Drosophila melanogaster: one gene and its partners. Changing the gene in region 3 together with the main gene of any one other region gives a genetic interaction. Each region holds a gene or a part of one and is shown on either strand. Other genes may lie near its edges.

Region 1 (7,026 bases), on a different chromosome or scaffold from region 3:
TGTGCTTCAGCCAACAATCAATGCGCAAGCTATTAATCCTAAGACCTAACAACCAAACGATTCTGAAGAATGAGAGTGCCGATGGTTTTACTTTTTTTTTACTTTTTCTGAACACTGAAATTTTGCTTAAAAGAATTCGAAAATACAATCTGTACCACAATACAACGAAGCTAAAAGTATAATGAGCTACTTTTACTTCGGAGCCTACTTGCTTTAAATCATTTTAAAATCAGCTTAAAAATTTATTTTTGAAATTGGCCTAAGTATCCTAGTAAGATACCAATCCAGCTAAATCTTTAAGATGCTTCGGCGGTGCACCACTAAAAACTTGTGCCATCTATTATTGCAACGTTTTAAAACGCATTAGAAGTAACCCAAGTATCTCAAAGATAATCCAAATTAAACAGATAACTGATTTAAATCGACAAGTTTATAAAGTGGCGTAGCTCTTCTTTGTAATTCAGCTTCCCCCAGATTAATTTCAATAATTAACGAGCATTGTTTACTTTTACTAATCATGTTTATTTCAGTTTTGTAGTTTTGTGTCTGTGTGAGTGATCTCATATGGTAGTGGCGCGGTAAATCGGCGCATTAAAAGCTAATTACGGTGCAGATGCTTAAAATCATTAATTTTTCTTCCGTTTTCGATTGGGAAACGTTGGCCGAATGGAAATCAAAACCAAAACATGAGCCAAACCGGGGAGATCGTCTTAACTAGATAGAAATTTAAACATTAACATTGCTTTATATGTTTGGGGGGACTTGGGGGGAAATGGGAAGGGGCAACTGTCTTTTTAGCATTGCGAAAAAAAATGTTTTCTTTTTTTTTTAGTGTGTTTTTGTTATTTTGTGATGGTTTGGCATGAACAAAATTGCGGGTCGCAGTTTCGTTTAGGCTGCAACTTTCAAACAACTCTCGAGTTATTACAGATTATCGCTATCAAATATTACTTTTCTTTGTGGGTTATTAGGTTTGTTAATTTCGTTAAACTGTTCGTTTTACTTATTACCATTTACAAGTATTGTATAAAATAATTTACATTAACTAAACTAGACTTTGCAGTACATGTTCGAGTGGATGAGTGACCTCCTCGCCTTTCTTGCTGTTCTCCTCGTTTTGGTGAGTGGGTCTGTGTGTTCCTAGCGTTCACTGTAGTAGGTGGTGGGCACGTGGGCACGCGCAGGCAGCTCTGCTCCAGGTGTGTGGACCTTACGAACTAAATTAAACTAAAGCAGAACCCCATGAACTAACAAAACGGGTAACACTGAAACTTTGAAATATATAGTATTGTGTGTGCGGTAACTGAAAAATCATGTCCTAGAACTAGAGTACCAATCGAACCGATTAAACATACAAACATACAGGTCAGCCACGATTTTCGCATTCGACAGGAAAGTGTGTTATACAAATCTGCGAAATCTCACCAAAAATATTTGGCATTTTTCTGCAAACGAGTGAGATTTACACACAGTCATGTGCAAACTAAAAATGAAAATACGAATTTTAAACGCGGTTTTACAGGTTTAACGAACGTGTGCAATAAACACTGAACATCACTTAGCAATTGCTTTAATACGCTTTCCATTTCGCTTTGGAAAATTGTGAGTGTCTTAGCTTAAAAATCAAAGAAAACTGCGATATCGTGCCGAATGTGATAATCGAAGCAGCCTGATATTTCCATAGATATATATACATATGCATGTAAGTGGCTCTTAGAATAGAGAATCATTTTTATAAAACAACTCTGCAAAACTCTTTCTTCTTAATCTCCAGACTCACAATCTGTCCACGAGTTAGACGCCTGATGCGAACAGAGGGCTATAAACTATATATGTATTTGTATCGGAATAGTAAACACAAGAAATGAAAGAACCCGACGAATTGACAGTGCGTTTAGACCAGAGATATGGTCACGTTAATGCCCAGGTTGCCATTGTCGGCGAACAATTGCGCAATCGACGTGTCGAACACCAGGCAGTCCGAGTTGTGAATTGCGGAAGCGACGCCCTCGTGGATCGAACGCGGCATTGCCTCCCAGGTGAGCCGGCGTCGGTTTCCGTTCAACTCCAGGCGATAGACAAAGTTCTCCGCTTCCTTGCGCGACCCGATCAGCTGAACGATGGCAAAGAACTGCTGGTGTCCGTCGTACTTCTCCTGCTTCTCCAGCACGAGCATAAAATGGTGGCCGAAGCAGGACTGCATCATTACCCAATCGACGGCGCCGGGCAGGTTGATGTCGGTGGCCAGGAACACGATGTCCTCGCCCTGCAGCGTTGTGATGCTCTTGTGCGACATCATCAGATGCTGCATGACTAGGTCAAGCGGGCCCTGCCACTTACAGCTGGCGCCCGGGCACGGACACAGGTAGGGCCGGCACTCGCACGTCTCCTCGTGTTCTGTCTTTTCCGTGTAAACCAGCGAGGCGGTGCATCCGTAGCCGGAGTGCTTGCACGGGAACTTGACGTTCGAGGCAACCTTCTCCATCGCCAGGTTGCGGATATTCGCCAGCGGACCGCGGCAGGTGGGGCAGCAGGTGAGCTTGGAGCGACAGGACACGCACACCAGGTGCCCGCTGGAGCACTGCAGGATCGGCGGTAGCACATAGTCAAAGCACACGGGGCATTCAAACAGCGAGGTCAAGTCGGCGGACATGCCCGCATCACCGCCACCGGCGGACGACAGCGAGGAGCTGGACGACGAGGATGTGTTGGCCGAGGACGTGTTGCCGGCACTGGAGGATCCGGTCGAGGTGCTCGTGTTGGTGGCCACTCCCGTGGCACCGGCTCCTGCTGCTGCTGCTGTCGGTTCGCGGCGCTTCGGGTTGATTTTATTGGACATTGGAAGGGTTCTCGCAACGGCACGAATGTGTCTACAATTCTTCTGGGTCCCTGCAATTCTCGCCAGGTTCAGGTTCTTCGCCCTCCCGGTGGCTTCGGCAATGGCTTTCTTGTGCTTCTGTCTAAAATGAGATACAATCACAGGTCAGTGAGTAATGCGGTCAATTTAGTCATAGCATATGTATAATTTTTTTTTCTTTTTTTTGTAATTTTGTTCGTTCAGTGATAAGAAACTCCAAAAAACAATAACCTACAAAACCATACAGATATCTTAACAAAAATAGTTTGTTTCGATTAGGCTTAGTTAATCCAAAAATAACATATATCAACCAACAAAAAAAATCACAGTATAACACACTGCATAAATGCTGGTTTAAATTTGAACATATGTTATGAGCTTTCTATCGATTTTGCGGCTTAAGTTCGGAGCATACTATTGATTTGAATGTTCATTCCAAACTATTGTGCCCACTGGGACATGAGTAATAGGCAAAAATATTTTTCCATGAAGTAATAGAAATGAAATGAATGCAAACTGTGTAAGCAAAATCTACTCGATTGCTATAAAAAATGTTGCCCAGCAAAACTACTATCCATTTGTAATAATTTAATTTGAGCCTTATTAATTTAAAACTTATTTCGCGTAATCACTACTACTAGGTAGTTCGTTTTTCGTGCCGCCCAATAGAAAAGCCAAAGCGATTTATCATTCCTGGCCTTAACCTTGCCGTGGATTCCCAATTGTTGTAATTACCGAAAAAAGAAAACACACGCATTTGCGTGTATGGGAATTGCATTTAAGCAATTACTTAAAGCGGAACGTATCGAACCGGAGTTGGTCTGCGAAAAGCAAAGACACAGCCCGAGGTCGCCGTCACGTCTCCGATCGAAATGAAGGCCCGATTCCGATTCCAACTCCGAGCCCAAGCCCAAAAGCCTCTTGGCGGCACGTGTGGAACGGCGCAAATATGTTGGCTCTTATCAGGCGGAGCTGACGGAGCCGACGCTGATGGACGGCCATTAGGGACGTCGACCCATGGCGGGATTGTGCGATGGTGGGTGTCGTGCTGGTTGTAATGGGTGTGGTTCGGTTTCACGGGTTTGTCCACTTTGGACAGAATGGGCACACATTAGTGTGAACAATATGCTGTGGGTGCTTTGGTGCGTTTATAAGATAAATATCAATATAATAATATAAAGTTTTCGTAATTGTTTAGCTTTGATGTACAAACAAAACTTGTTCTCTTTCCTAACGGGAATATATTTGCTATATGATTGCTATCAAAATTTTGTGTGAAAGGAGTTCAGTAATATTGTTTATATTCGAAAACAAACTCAAACCTAAAAAATAAATAATATGTTTCCTTATTAACCCAAAACAAAAACACATGAAACGCATGAACATACAAATGTTTAATACTTTACCCTATATATTGGAAAAATTATTTGAACATTTGCCATTATGAAATTCGTACCATCGCCCGCATAAACGTAATATCGTAATGAAGAGTGCGTAACGTAACAAATGCAACGAGGATGTGTAGGGGGTGGGTGGCGGTAGGGGATGGCAGCCGCGGGGAGGGAAACTCACACACTTACAACACAGACACAGATCGCACACACATAATTAACAGTTCGTTTACGTTGCGTACCGTTGGAAACGTTCATACGGGGTAAAAATGGTAATTGCCACAAAAGTCATAGCCATGAATATAATTAACTTAGCTTCTGCTTTCATGAGTTGCAAAATGGTAAAATAGAAAACGTAAGTTGCGGAGCAAAGCGAAATGCGACTATCTTTCTTTAATTTATGCCGCCATTAAGTGCGACTAGGCTGCTGTTTAAACAGCAACAACAACTGCGAAATACATAATCGTTGATATGTAAACTTACATGGCAGGCTGCCTCCAAGAAATTGTGCCGAGGTATTGGTGCCCCGCTGCGTTGGTGTGTGTGTGTATGTGTATATTTTATTTTCTTGTTATTTTTTTGTTTCCTTTTTTATCAGTCAGTCAGCCTTTACGGCCATGCACACACACACACGCATACAGCCAGCATGTGTGTGTATATATCCTAGGTGCAAGTTCCGTTTTTTACGTTGCAATTTGTTATTTTTTTAACCGCATATATATATATAACCAATGCAGGTGGTTTTGCTACTGCACACGCACACTGGGAAAATGGAAAAACTGTTTTGATTGCTTTTCGCCTTTTCGTTCACCTTGCACCGAACCGAAACTCGAAATTCAGGCGTGAGCTAATTTCATTTGGCTTTTTATCTAATTTTCTTTAACGCGACCCGCACACATACACATTTATTCATATTTAGCTTTACTAGTTATTTTCGCCTTTTCTGCCTCTGTGTTGCTGCTGCTGCTGATGTTGTGTTGTTGTTGTTGCTGCACAAAAATAAACCATTTGCATTTACACACAGGCAGCGAAATGGGTTTTTTTCGTGTGTCTCACTTTTTCTATATTGCGTTCTTTGATCGTCGCAGTCGGCGTTTATTGCACTTGCCCTTGCGCGGTGTGGAATTCAGTCTTTTTCGGCATTCTCCATGTACTTTGGGCGTGATGTCTGCCTTTAGCTGGTTAATTAATTAATTTACTTTACTATACTGAGTTTCTTCTAATGTCCGCGTCGGTTGCAGAGATGGAACCCCAATTGTCGTCTATTCGATTCCAGATAGTCGATTACACGCAATCGGCAACATCGCAGTGCCTCCTGGTAGCTATCAATTGCTGTCATCGATTACTTAACAGCCTTGCCACGTTTGTCAAATTAATTTAATAACAGGAAAACATCAGTTTTGAAATAATACAAATCGAATCAGGCGCATAATTTTTAAAGGATCAAAGTTAATAATGTAGTCTGTTACTCTTATTGACAACTAAAGCCTAATTTTTAAAATAATTCATTAATAAATACTTTTTTATGATTTATAGTATTTCCAATCAAATAATATAGGCAATACAAAAAATTAAATAAAAATATTGATTGGTGATACCTTGACCTTGTGTCACATCATTGGCGGGAATGTTTAAGAACTTAGTTTGGATCGGGAAATTCGAAGAAACAAATTTACGAAAGAGTAAAATTGCGTTTTACGAATATGAAGTAAATAAATATCCTAATACCAAAAATCCCATTAATCTTCTTCACTTTTATGCATTTCCAGAGGGCTACCTCACGTCCTGCTCCTTCGACTATCTTTCGGACAACTTTGACACCCGGTTGTTTGTGGGCACCATCTTCTTTTTCAGCTTCGTGTGTCCCACGCTGATGATCCTTTACTACTACTCGCAGATCGTGGGCCATGTCTTCAGCCACGAAAAGGCCCTACGGGAGCAGGCCAAGAAAATGAACGTGGAGTCGCTGCGCTCCAATGTGGACAAGAGCAAGGAGACGGCGGAGATACGGATTGCGAAGGCGGCTATCACCATCTGCTTCCTGTTCTTCGTGTCGTGGACGCCCTACGGCGTAATGTCGCTGATCGGGGCATTCGGGGATAAGAGTCTGCTTACACCAGGAGCCACGATGATCCCGGCCTGCACCTGCAAACTGGTGGCGTGCATAGACCCATTCGTCTATGCCATAAGTCACCCCAGATACCGCTTGGAGCTGCAGAAGCGCTGTCCCTGGCTGGGAGTCAACGAAAAGTCTGGGGAGATCTCTTCGGCGCAGTCCACGACCACCCAGGAGCAGCAACAGACTACCGCTGCATAGAACCAAGGACAACTCTACTCTAAGACAACTGACCATGTAACATGAAAGCCAAGGAAAAAGTATAAAATGCCGACAACGAAACTGTATAACATTAATTTTATAATTTGTAGTGTGACATTCTTGAGTTTGAAATAAATAAATAGTAACTTATTGCAAACGAAGTAGAAAATGAGTCCCGTTTTTTATTTGAAATTCGGTTCTTTGATGTCATTATTTTGTTACTATTTCTACACTTACACTTAAAAATTAAATAACAAATTCAACTCAAATCCTAAACACATTTACACAGTTATTTGGAGCCTCTTCATTCCTAATAAAATCATAAAATCGAGTTTTTTTTTCAAAATAGTCAGTTATGTATTTATTCGGTTTTTGGGTAATATCTTTAAGATACCCATTGTGAAATCTGTTGGCATTTGTTAAACAAAATGAAGGTGACCCACCAGGAAATAAATTCCATG
Region 2 (4,740 bases), about 16 Mb from region 3:
GGAGGTGATTTTCCAGGAAATGAACTCGTAGTGCCTATTGGTGCGTGTCAGCATGTTCCAGCTCTTGAGCTCCTCCGCCTCGAAGCGCGACGTAACATCGTCCTCGATGATGGCCTCCACGCCAGACTTTACGTAGTCCAGGCATTTCTCAAAATCGAAATTGATTTCATCCTGCAAATGGGAAATGTTGTTTAAATCAGGTGCCCATTGCAATGCCGGACTCCTTACCTTTGTGGAGGAAACTGGCTTCTCTGGAGCGGGCTCCTGTGGCTGGGGCAGGAGTACCGCGTCCCTGGTAATCAATGTGGCTCCATTGGTGCCTTCTTTGGAATCGGCGTCGTCCACTAGTTGCACTCCCTGTTTGTCGTCAGTCTTGGGATTTTGAATGTGTTGGTTTTCTTTGGATGCTGTCTCTATACTAACTCGACCATACTGAAAGTAGAGGTGATTAGTTGTTAACGAGTCGAATCGGGGATTATCTGCAGATAAGATTATCGCAAGCATATCGTCGGACGAGGTAATGACTGGCACTTTACAAGTGTCTGGGAAGCGGCAACTTGGGTGCACTGGCGCACTCCTGCCCCGCAGATTCCTTGAGGATAGCCGAAGAATCTACTTAAAGCTTCCGGGCAAGCAATAGTTTCTCGAACTCGCCTGCATTGCAGTAATTGCGTAGGGCAGACGTAGTATGGCGTACTCCAAAAGCTGACTATATTTATGGACTTTGGAATAGCTTAACTATTGGTAAGACAGCACCATTTGCAAAGCCACCGCAGCAGTGGAGCACCTCAAATCGGTGCTTACTCATCTGAGGAACGAAAGCAAGCAATATTTACCTCGAATATCCTTAGGAGGAGGTTCACGTACGCTTTTCGGACGCCGATTGATTTGTTTATGGCGGAAATAAATATGAGAAATGAGAGGAAGCCCCCGATGGGGATCCAGAATATGTCCAACAGCACGGCGATCATTTTACATTTGTGTCATGCGACATTAGTTATTGTTAAGCGAAAAATGCCTCCGAATTGTGTCGTGCCAATATATACAATGTTAAAATACTTTTTGCTGTAGACCGAACTAGCGATGGACCTTGACTGTGTCAAAAACCTGTCTCGTGCTCACAGACCTGGCCCGCGCTCATCTCTACGGGGAACAAACGGAAAGGGGACGATTCCGGTCGGGCAGGAGACGGAACGGCTTCTTGTTCCACTGCCAATCGTTTTGAAAAGGGTTGAATGAACGTGCACTGAAAACAAAAAGGCACATTTACATTCAGATTATATTGTTATTGGGTATGTGTTTTTGACAGACCTTTACCTGCACTTATTACTTAAATCAACAAGGCACATTTACAATCAGTTTATATTGTTATTGGGTGTGTTTTTGACAGACCTTTGCCTGTACTTATTTTCACTAAACAAAATGTTATAAACCAATAAATAATAATTGTTAGTCTAATAATTTATAGTCTGATATTATGGAACACAAGTGTGTGGGCTATACACACACCATAATTTAATATCTACTTTGTTTTGTGCCTTATTAATTACAAAATATAGAATAAATCTTTAGCTATAGCTAAAGGAAATCGACAAAAGTCGTAATCGGCTTGCGGAATACCCCTGGCATTCCGCAGGTGCAGCCACGAAGCCGATTACATGAGGAACGCTAGTATCGGAATGGACAAGTGGACGGGGATAGCCATCTGGCAACACTGGGATAAATTTATTTTATGTTGGCAGTTCCGTAATTATTATTATTACTATTATTTATTGCAACGAAGTTTAGTTTTTAACACCTTAATGTTATAGTTTCGCGCAGCGCGATGGAGTGATACGTATATGGAAGAACATATATGTGCGCGTGCCTAATCGCTAAGATAATTCTATGTAGTTTTCGTTTGTATACAATAAGTGCCTTTTATATGTTAACGACGATGTCAGCCAGCAGCAATACAAACAGCCTGATCGAGAAGGAGATCGACGACGAGGACATGCTTTCGCCGATCAAGTCCAACAACCTGGTGGTGCGGGTCAACCAGGACACGGACGACAACCTGCAGGCGCTATTCGACAGCGTCCTGAATCCGGGTGACGCCAAGCGCCCGCTGCAGCTGCCCCTGCGCATGCGGAAGCTGCCCAACTCCTTCTTCACGCCCCCGGCGCCCTCGCACTCGCGGGCCAACAGCGCCGACTCCACCTACGACGCGGGCTCCCAGTCGAGCATCAACATCGGGAACAAGGCGTCCATCGTCCAGCAGCCAGATGGCCAGTCGCCCATCGCCGCCATCCCCCAGCTCCAGATTCAGCCGTCTCCCCAGCACAGCCGCCTGGCGATACATCACTCCCGAGCCCGCAGCAGCCCCGCCTCGCTGCAGCAGAACTACAATGTGCGCGCCCGGAGCGACGCAGCAGCAGCCAACAATCCGAATGCCAATCCGAGCAGCCAACAGCAGCCCGCTGGGCCCACTTTCCCAGAGAACAGTGCCCAAGAGTTCCCCAGCGGCGCCCCGGCCAGCTCGGCCATTGATCTGGACGCCATGAACACCTGCATGTCGCAGGACATTCCCATGTCCATGCAGACAGTGCACAAGAAGCAGCGCTCCTACGACGTCATCAGCCCCATTCAGTTGAACCGCCAACTAGGCGCCTTGCCGCCGGGATGGGAGCAAGCCAAGACCAATGATGGCCAGATCTACTACTTGAAGTGAGTTTGGGCAGATTTTAAAAATGATATGCATGAAGCTTTATTTAATACGTGTCTTCTTTATGAACTTATGAAAACTAAAATATTCTTGTGAGTCACAGAAATCTCATTGGCTTCGTTGGATGTCTTTCAAGTTTATCTCTTAATCATTACTAGCTCAACTAATACCCAAAACAGCAATCTCAACAATGGTGTTCTCTCTACTTGCAGTCATACTACAAAATCTACGCAGTGGGAGGATCCCAGAATCCAATATCGCCAGCAGCAGCAAATCTTGATGGCCGAGCGAATAAAGCAGAATGGTAGGTTCTATCTTAGATGTAATGCCTTAGATAAGCAAGTCGTTAACTGCCTGTGGCTGCGTCTCATTGTTAACCCACTTAAATCAGCCATCAGAGGACTAATTAATGCTAGAGACCAGGCAGGGATAAGATAGGCTCTAACTCATTCCAACTAACGCATGAACAGCACAGTACACAACCGATTTCAGGGAGTCCATTCCGTCCATTTTGAGCGCGCCAATGCACTTTTCGGGATTGGGTTGGAGTCTGATCATTTTGGCATTCGGAAGTGGGAGCTCGATTGGATTTGCTTTGAGCATACTCCAATTGATTTTGATATGTGCTGCATGCTGGGCGCCAGTGCCCCTCCGTTCTCATCCGCTTACACACTGCAGCATTACGTTGAAGACATATTTTAATTTGTTTTTATTTACTTTGGTTTGTAATTCATTGTTTTTGTTCGATAGATGTTTTGCAAACTACAAAACAAACTACCACATCGACCATTGCTAACAATTTGGGTCCACTGCCGGATGGTTGGGAGCAGGCAGTTACCGAGTCCGGAGATCTTTACTTTATAAATCACATTGATCGAACGACTTCATGGAATGATCCCAGAATGCGTAAGTCTCGTTCCACCACCCCGACTAGCGTAAGACAACGAGACACACAGATATCGTAGCGATATCGCTAGATAACATTGAGTGCGCAGTGGGCGGGGGGCCGATCACGTAATTCCCATGGCATCTCTGCTTTCACTATATAGTATAGTACTGATCTTGAGATAGAGGCCGAACACTCCACACTCCTTATCGCTCCATGCCTCGCCTTTACTAACTTAACGCCTTCCCTTACCGTGTATCTTTGCAGAATCTGGGCTTAGCGTGCTCGACTGCCCAGATAACTTAGTGTCTTCCCTCCAGGTAAGCATTCGCAGTTGCCGACCGCCGAGTTGGCGAACCGAGTTCCACGCCACTACCTCACTTTGCCCACTTTACGCTTTCAGATTGAGGATAATCTTTGCAGTAACTTGTTCAATGACGCACAGGCCATTGTAAATCCGCCGTCTTCCCACAAACCTGACGATTTGGAATGGTATAAAATTAATTAATTCAATGTATACATCTGTATTAGACCTAAAAGTTTTATATTTTGTATTATTCTAAATTAAATATTTTTCAAATTTTATAGTATTTCTTTACATAAACGAATTTGTGTGTTTATCATTATTACTGGGCGCCTTGTTTCTGGGTTTTAAAGCTTCCGACGATCAGTGAACGCACTGATTGAAAAGAAGATATCTGATTCAGATGACTTTCGAACGCCGAAGAGAGAGTTCAGGTGGATGAAAGGTGTGGTCAGCAGCGATGACTCATGCCGAAACCCGAATACCCCGACTATTGTAAAGTGCAAGCCAAGTAACCAAGTAACCAGAATGCGGCGTGCATTTGGACCAGAATGCACGCGATTCATGAGCTTCATTGAGTTCGATCTGTGACCGACCCAGCAGATTCAGCTTTACGTGGAGCCAAAGACATCCATGCTCATCGGTGTCATTCGCTTGCGAATCTGTTCGCGTTCGCTCTTTATCAATGCTTACCCATGAGTCACTTTTGCAAATATTCTTCTAATTTAGCATGAATTACTTATTTTCGTGATGTCAAGCTAGTCATCGTTTGAATTCTTTCAACAGCTTTCATAGATGATAAGAGTTGGACTTGGGTTTTTCACCACAGCTTTGTTTCAAGGAAAT
Region 3 (5,482 bases):
TAAATTGTGGCCGCATAAGGCGAAAGATTGTATATGTACATGTACTGACTTATAGGGAGTGTCAGGCTTTTCGTAATTGCTTGAGTCGCACATATGGGCAAGAACTGCATAAAGGGTATTTCTTAGGAAACGAAAAGCATGATACTTTTAGGTGGCACCAACGGTTCGCGTTAGTTTTCACTGGTCCAATAAGCATCACACATACATACATACATACATAGCAGTGTGAGAGGTAAACACTTTTAATTGTTTGCGGCGAGTGATTTACCTATCCGCTTGACTCGAGCCACGTTCCCAGTCAATGCTCCTGCGGAATGACTCATCCATTAGCTCATGGTTAACTAAGATATTGAGAATGTAATCGTCATATCCAAATCGCCATATCCATCGTCATGCCTATCATACCCAGACGTGTGCCAAGCGGACCCGTTCCGCTGCAGTTGAGTAAACAACGAATTTAATATGGAATGCTTTTCAGCTTTTATGTAGTTAAACTAAGGAGAAGACTTTATTTTATAAAATGCAAGAGTATATTTTGTTTCTTGATGTTTTCTGCTGCGCTTGCGGCTTTTGCCTTGCTGGTGTGTGTTCGGGTGTTCAATGACTTTATGCATAATAGGTAAAATACAATTACAATATCAATAGCATACGTTATACATGGATTCGTTATTCGTTATAATTAATTTTAGGATCAATTTCGCCTCGCACTCGTACATTCTGCTTAGTTTTTATTATGATTAGGCTTTAAGATACTTAAGTATTTTGCAAATACCGTTTGTTACTGTCTCGATTTAATTCGTTTGCGTGTTCAATTCATTAGGCTAGCAAATGTGTTTCGTCAAGTAATGCGTGGATATATATTGGTAAAATACTGCAACTGCTATGTGTTATATGTACTTGTATAGTATGTAGAAAACAAATGCAACGCCGTCGCTGGACGATTGCTGTGCGAATAGAAGCCTTGTGGGGCGGCTGGGCCCAACAATAGATATATTTATGCACTTTTCGAATTACTTTATGTGGTAGGAATAAGAGTAGGATACGCTAGGGTTTTCATTTGCTTTGTTCTCGAGATTAGCGCTTAAGTATACGAGGAGCGGAAGGGGGTTTGGGGAATGGGGGTTTTGAGCGTGTTGACTTAGAACAGACCCTTCTTTTTCTTCTCCTTCTTGCCATCCACATTGTCCGTGCTGCTGTTGGCCCCCAGGCTGCGTCGCTTGAGCTCCTCGAGCGTCACGTGGTTGACATCCTCCCACTCCTTCTTCTCGCGCTCGAACTCGCGTCTCTTCTCCTCCAGCTCCCGGATCTGCAGCTCCAGCGCCTTCTTGCGCTCCTCGTGGCGCCGCGCCAGCTCCAGCTCCGAGTCCCTGAGCTTCTGCATCTTCTCCTTGACCTTCATGTCAAACACCTGCTCCATCTCGGCCTCCATCTTCTTCATCTTCTGCTCGTGCTCCCGCTTTTCCTCCTCCATCTGGGTGAGTGGGTTCTTGTTGGACAGCCTGGCCTTGCCGTCCACCAATCCCAGCTCGGATAGCTTCCGGCAGCGGTAGTTCTCGTAGTGGACGTTGTTCGTCACGTCCTTGAGGTCCTGAAGGTGCGTGCGTATGACCATGTTGCGCAGCGCTATAAAGTCGCAATGCGTCAGGTTCTCCACCTCCACCAGGCCCCAGGGATAACGCCTACCCCGGACCTTCTTTCCGTCCTGCTCGATGATGGTGTTGGCACCCACCACCGCGAATGGCACTCGGCTGCGCAAATTCTGCGTGGTTTTGGCCTCCTCGGCCGCATCCTCCAGCGTGGCGGGGAAGTCGTAGATCTTGATCTTGTGCTGGGCGATCTCGTTAAGGATCTGCTTCTTAAATAGATGCACCTCGTCGGGCGTCATGGTGTCCGCCTTGGCGATCACCGGCACCAGATTTACCTTGTCCGACAGGCTCTGCATGCAGGCAATGTCCAGCGGCAGGAGTCCGTGTCCCGATGGCGCTATGAAGTAGAGGCAGCAGTGCACCCGGCTGTCCGAAATGGTTTTTCGGTACACCCGCGACTCGGCTGTCAGGTACTCCTCGTACTTGCTATCCACGTACTCCAGTATGGGCACCCAGCAGTTGCTGTTGTCAACGGCATCACCGAATCCGGGTGTGTCCACCACCGTGAGTGTCAGATTGACGCCGTTCTCCTTGAGCATTACTTTGGTGGCCTCCACGGCCACGGTCTTCTTTTTGCGCAGCGAGGGGCCCGGATACTGTTCCGCGTTGTAGATGTCCGACAGGAACATGGAGTTGATCAGCGTCGACTTGCCCAGCCCACTGGCGCCCACCACCATCAGAGTGAACTCGAATCCCCGCTTGACGGCCTTGCGATAGACCTGATTGGGCAGGTTGGCGAAGCCCACATAGCCGGCGATCTCCATGGGCTTCTGGCGCACCGGGAGCGGTGGCTTCTGTGGCTTCTGCGCCTGCTGGTGCTCCTTCTCCTGCAGATCGTGGGTCAGTTTGTTCGAGTCGCCGTTGGAGGCGCCTCCGCCGCTGGTGTCCAGCTTGCCACTGGCGGCCACTGGCACACTGGGCGGCTGATTGGGCGGTCGTCCACCGACGCCCACCAAGGACTCGCTGCCGCTGCTGCCGTTCGTGGCAGAGGACGCCGATGCCGACGCAGCCTGCTGCTTGTCGCGCAGAGCCAGTTGGGCCAGAGTGCTGGGCAGAGCGGAGATGGCGCCGCCGCTGCCGCCATTAACCGCGTTCGAGCGAGGACTATTCATTGGAATAGCGCCAAATTCGCCTTTGAGCCTTCGATATTCGTTCGCAGGTGGGCTTCACTGTATTTATTCACTTTGCTTGCACAGAACCGTTGCTTTTTCACCGCTTTTGTCACGCCTACGCCAGCTCTTTTACGCTCTTACTTTTCTTGCATTTTCTGTGTCAGTAGGACCGTGCGCTGCAACGCGATAAATACTTCTGCTCCGCTCTCGCAGGCAACAACAACGCCCCAGCTCAGGCGCAGTGTGACCCTGGAAAATACCGGACGAGAGCCGCGAATATACCAAACGACGCTTGGAGTGAGAGCGCATGAGTAATGCGACACATACACACAGAGATACACGCACCCATACTGCCGCAGCAATGCACATGCAAACGGGCAAAGAGAACTATTTTCTGGTGGCCTTATCACTTGAAATGGAATGTTATGTTTAAAAATAGGCAATGAAACGCATTCATGTGTCCCAGCACTTGGGATTCCAGATTTCTGGCCTGAATGACTGCACTGGAGTGGCCACGGATCGCATTACAATCGCCCGCTGATGCACAGGAAGAAATTATCCGTCTAGATGACTTTGACTTTTGCCTTAAGCAGGGGTGGATTACTGAGGGGTTTTTTGACTACATATCGAACTATATTTATTTTAAAACATTTTCAGTTTATGTTTGTCCATTTTTATAGGGAATTAATTTCTATGGTACACCATAACGGGTTTTTAAATAAAATTGTTCACTACGCCCATGACTTTTGTGGTTACGGGTTCCCTTTAATTTTTGTTGCAATGTTGCGCATGCCCGTGAGAGCAGCAGAAGGAGCAGAGAAAGAAGAAGAGGAAGCTGAGCTTATCTCTCTCGCTGAGAACTAAAGATGCTTCTGTCGCGTGGGTGTTGTTATTGTGACGCTGAGAACTCGACTTTCGCTTCTCTCTCACACTTGCTATAATTCCATTCGACTCTGTTTGGAAAGAGGTTAGTGAGCTAACTAACGCCCCTTGTGGGCGTGTGAGAAGTGCCATAAAAAGGAGCTGGATAATAACTGGCCTCTGTCGTTTGACCCGCTTCATGCTCGAGTGTCCTCGTCGAAAGTTCCCACACACGCCTCGTCCTGGCACCCTCTCTACCCCACCCTCTACGCGTCATCGCATGCCGATGCATACACGCACACGGACAAAGCCCGTTGATTGTGCGCTCTGCGTTTCGGTTTGTTTGTAATTTAAATTCTCATGCACTTCTGGCGATCGTCACTGGTAGAGGGGGAGGGGGAGAGGGAGGTACTAACCACCACCATTAAGAGGGTCCTGCGTCCTACTCCGCCTGCTTGGTGGTGGTGGTTTCCTTCCTTCCTACCATCCAGCCTTCCTTGCTTCCGAACTTCCCCCTTTTGCACGTGGATTTCCACCAAACGCCGTCTGCGCGACAACAAGGTGATCGTGAGAAAGTTTTTTTCTCACATTATTCCAAAGCGACTCCTGTTTTAATTTTAGCCTCTATCGGAATTAATATGCATTTATGAATTGATATGACTCGCGGTGGCTCGATTTTTACCCTAGGGGATGACTGTACTTATTGGAGGATTTACAGTTGTTGTCGTCAAGGGAAAAGGTAAATCGAGGGAAGTTCTGTGGAATTTTGTGGCTAGAGATCCCCTTGTTTCTTGTTATTCTTACTAATTTGATTGTCGATTGCATTTTATGATCTCAATACATATTTTTTGTTCTAAAAAGTTATTTAATGAATTCTTTTTCATTCTTTATCAAACTTTATTTTAAGCTTTATTAATACATTTAACATTTATGACCATCCGAAACCATTTGATTAACCCAAAATATAAGGAGAAAGTCGATTTTATTCATTAAGTCTATTTATATGTATATTTACTTTAGCTTCCTTAAACTAATTTTATATTGCTTTTTTGGGTGCATCTTTAACGATTAAAAACATACGCGTATGTACTTTCGTACTTTTTTATAGCACTACTTTTTTATAGCACTAAAAAGTTGATTTTCTATTATCGTATTCATCAATGCTAAATACATTTCATTTTTGGCTGGGGGCTTCGAAACTAGATGTTTTTTACGACAGATGTTAGGTCTTGAAATGTGCCACCGCAACTGCAACCGCAAATCTTTACAGCGAACAAATCCCACCTAATCTCCCCGCAACCCTTCCTCGTGTTCATAGTTTTGAGATCTTGAGCAGCTGTTTCGCATCAGGCACACTCCATACGAAATCCATTCGGAGACGCATCTTCTTCAATATTATGTAAGATGCTTGCCAGCAATTAGGGCCCGCTAGAAGCCAGAGGAAAACCCGTGCGCCCCTGAAAAGTCACTATTTCTTAGCGCCGACCATTGTCCGGGCCAAGTCCATTGTTCTCGTGGCTCGAAGAAGTGGCGGGGGATGCAGCCGGGAGAATGGAGTCGGCAGCTGTGCCAATTCTTGGCACGAGAGCAAGGACAGTTTAGTGCAAATGTTGGCTTAGGAGCAGCTGATCCACCAAGTGACCGTTACATCAGCTGGCATGGGTCACCAATCAATGGAATCAATGATATGGATTCGACCCAGCCCATCATGTGTGCTAGTTATTTAGGGTACGCCCAATAAATGTGAAAGTGTTCCTGAAGTCCAATAGCATATGGAATAGATATCAGCTTAAAACGTTCCATTAGATTTAAAAAAAACTTCTGACAATAACATGAAAATTGTAATTGAAGCTCTAAAAAGAA

What was found. Genes that interact genetically often act in the same process or in processes that back each other up.
Region 1: of pnut (region 3) and sina, changing one enhances a phenotype caused by changing the other (phenotypic enhancement), as found in Drosophila melanogaster (2 studies listed by BioGRID).
Region 2: of pnut (region 3) and yki, changing one enhances a phenotype caused by changing the other (phenotypic enhancement), as found in Drosophila melanogaster (one study listed by BioGRID).

What each region holds. Positions count from the first base shown.
Region 1 is NT_037436.4:16,852,231-16,859,256, reverse strand, and holds sina (seven in absentia), read right to left. Parts: upstream 5,507-7,026; 5' UTR 4,732-5,506; intron 3,339-4,731; exon of another isoform or gene 3,273-3,338; intron 2,961-3,272; 5' UTR 2,840-2,960; coding exon 1,895-2,839; 3' UTR 545-1,894; downstream 1-544. Other genes in the region: Rh4 (rhodopsin 4), read left to right, coding at 6,018-6,565. UniProt on the Drosophila melanogaster protein: E3 ubiquitin-protein ligase that is required for specification of R7 photoreceptor cell fate in the eye by mediating the ubiquitination and subsequent proteasomal degradation of Tramtrack (ttk).
Region 2 is NT_033778.4:24,065,431-24,070,170, reverse strand, and holds yki (yorkie), read left to right. Parts: upstream 1-1,685; 5' UTR 1,686-1,855; coding exon 1,856-2,706; intron 2,707-2,916; coding exon 2,917-3,008; intron 3,009-3,454; coding exon 3,455-3,610; intron 3,611-3,857; coding exon 3,858-3,910; intron 3,911-3,993; coding exon 3,994-4,098; 3' UTR 4,099-4,196; downstream 4,197-4,740. Other genes in the region: Gpat4 (Glycerol-3-phosphate acyltransferase 4), read right to left, coding at 1-171, 229-432, 837-971. UniProt on the Drosophila melanogaster protein: Transcriptional coactivator which is the critical downstream regulatory target in the Hippo/SWH (Sav/Wts/Hpo) signaling pathway that plays a pivotal role in organ size control and tumor suppression by restricting proliferation and promoting apoptosis.
Region 3 is NT_033778.4:8,235,333-8,240,814, reverse strand, and holds pnut (peanut), read right to left. Parts: upstream 3,545-5,482; 5' UTR 2,759-3,544; coding exon 1,139-2,758; 3' UTR 518-1,138; downstream 1-517. UniProt on the Drosophila melanogaster protein: Involved in cytokinesis and possibly cellularization. Also acts as an enhancer of the sina gene, thus having a role in photoreceptor development. May be involved in p53-dependent apoptosis.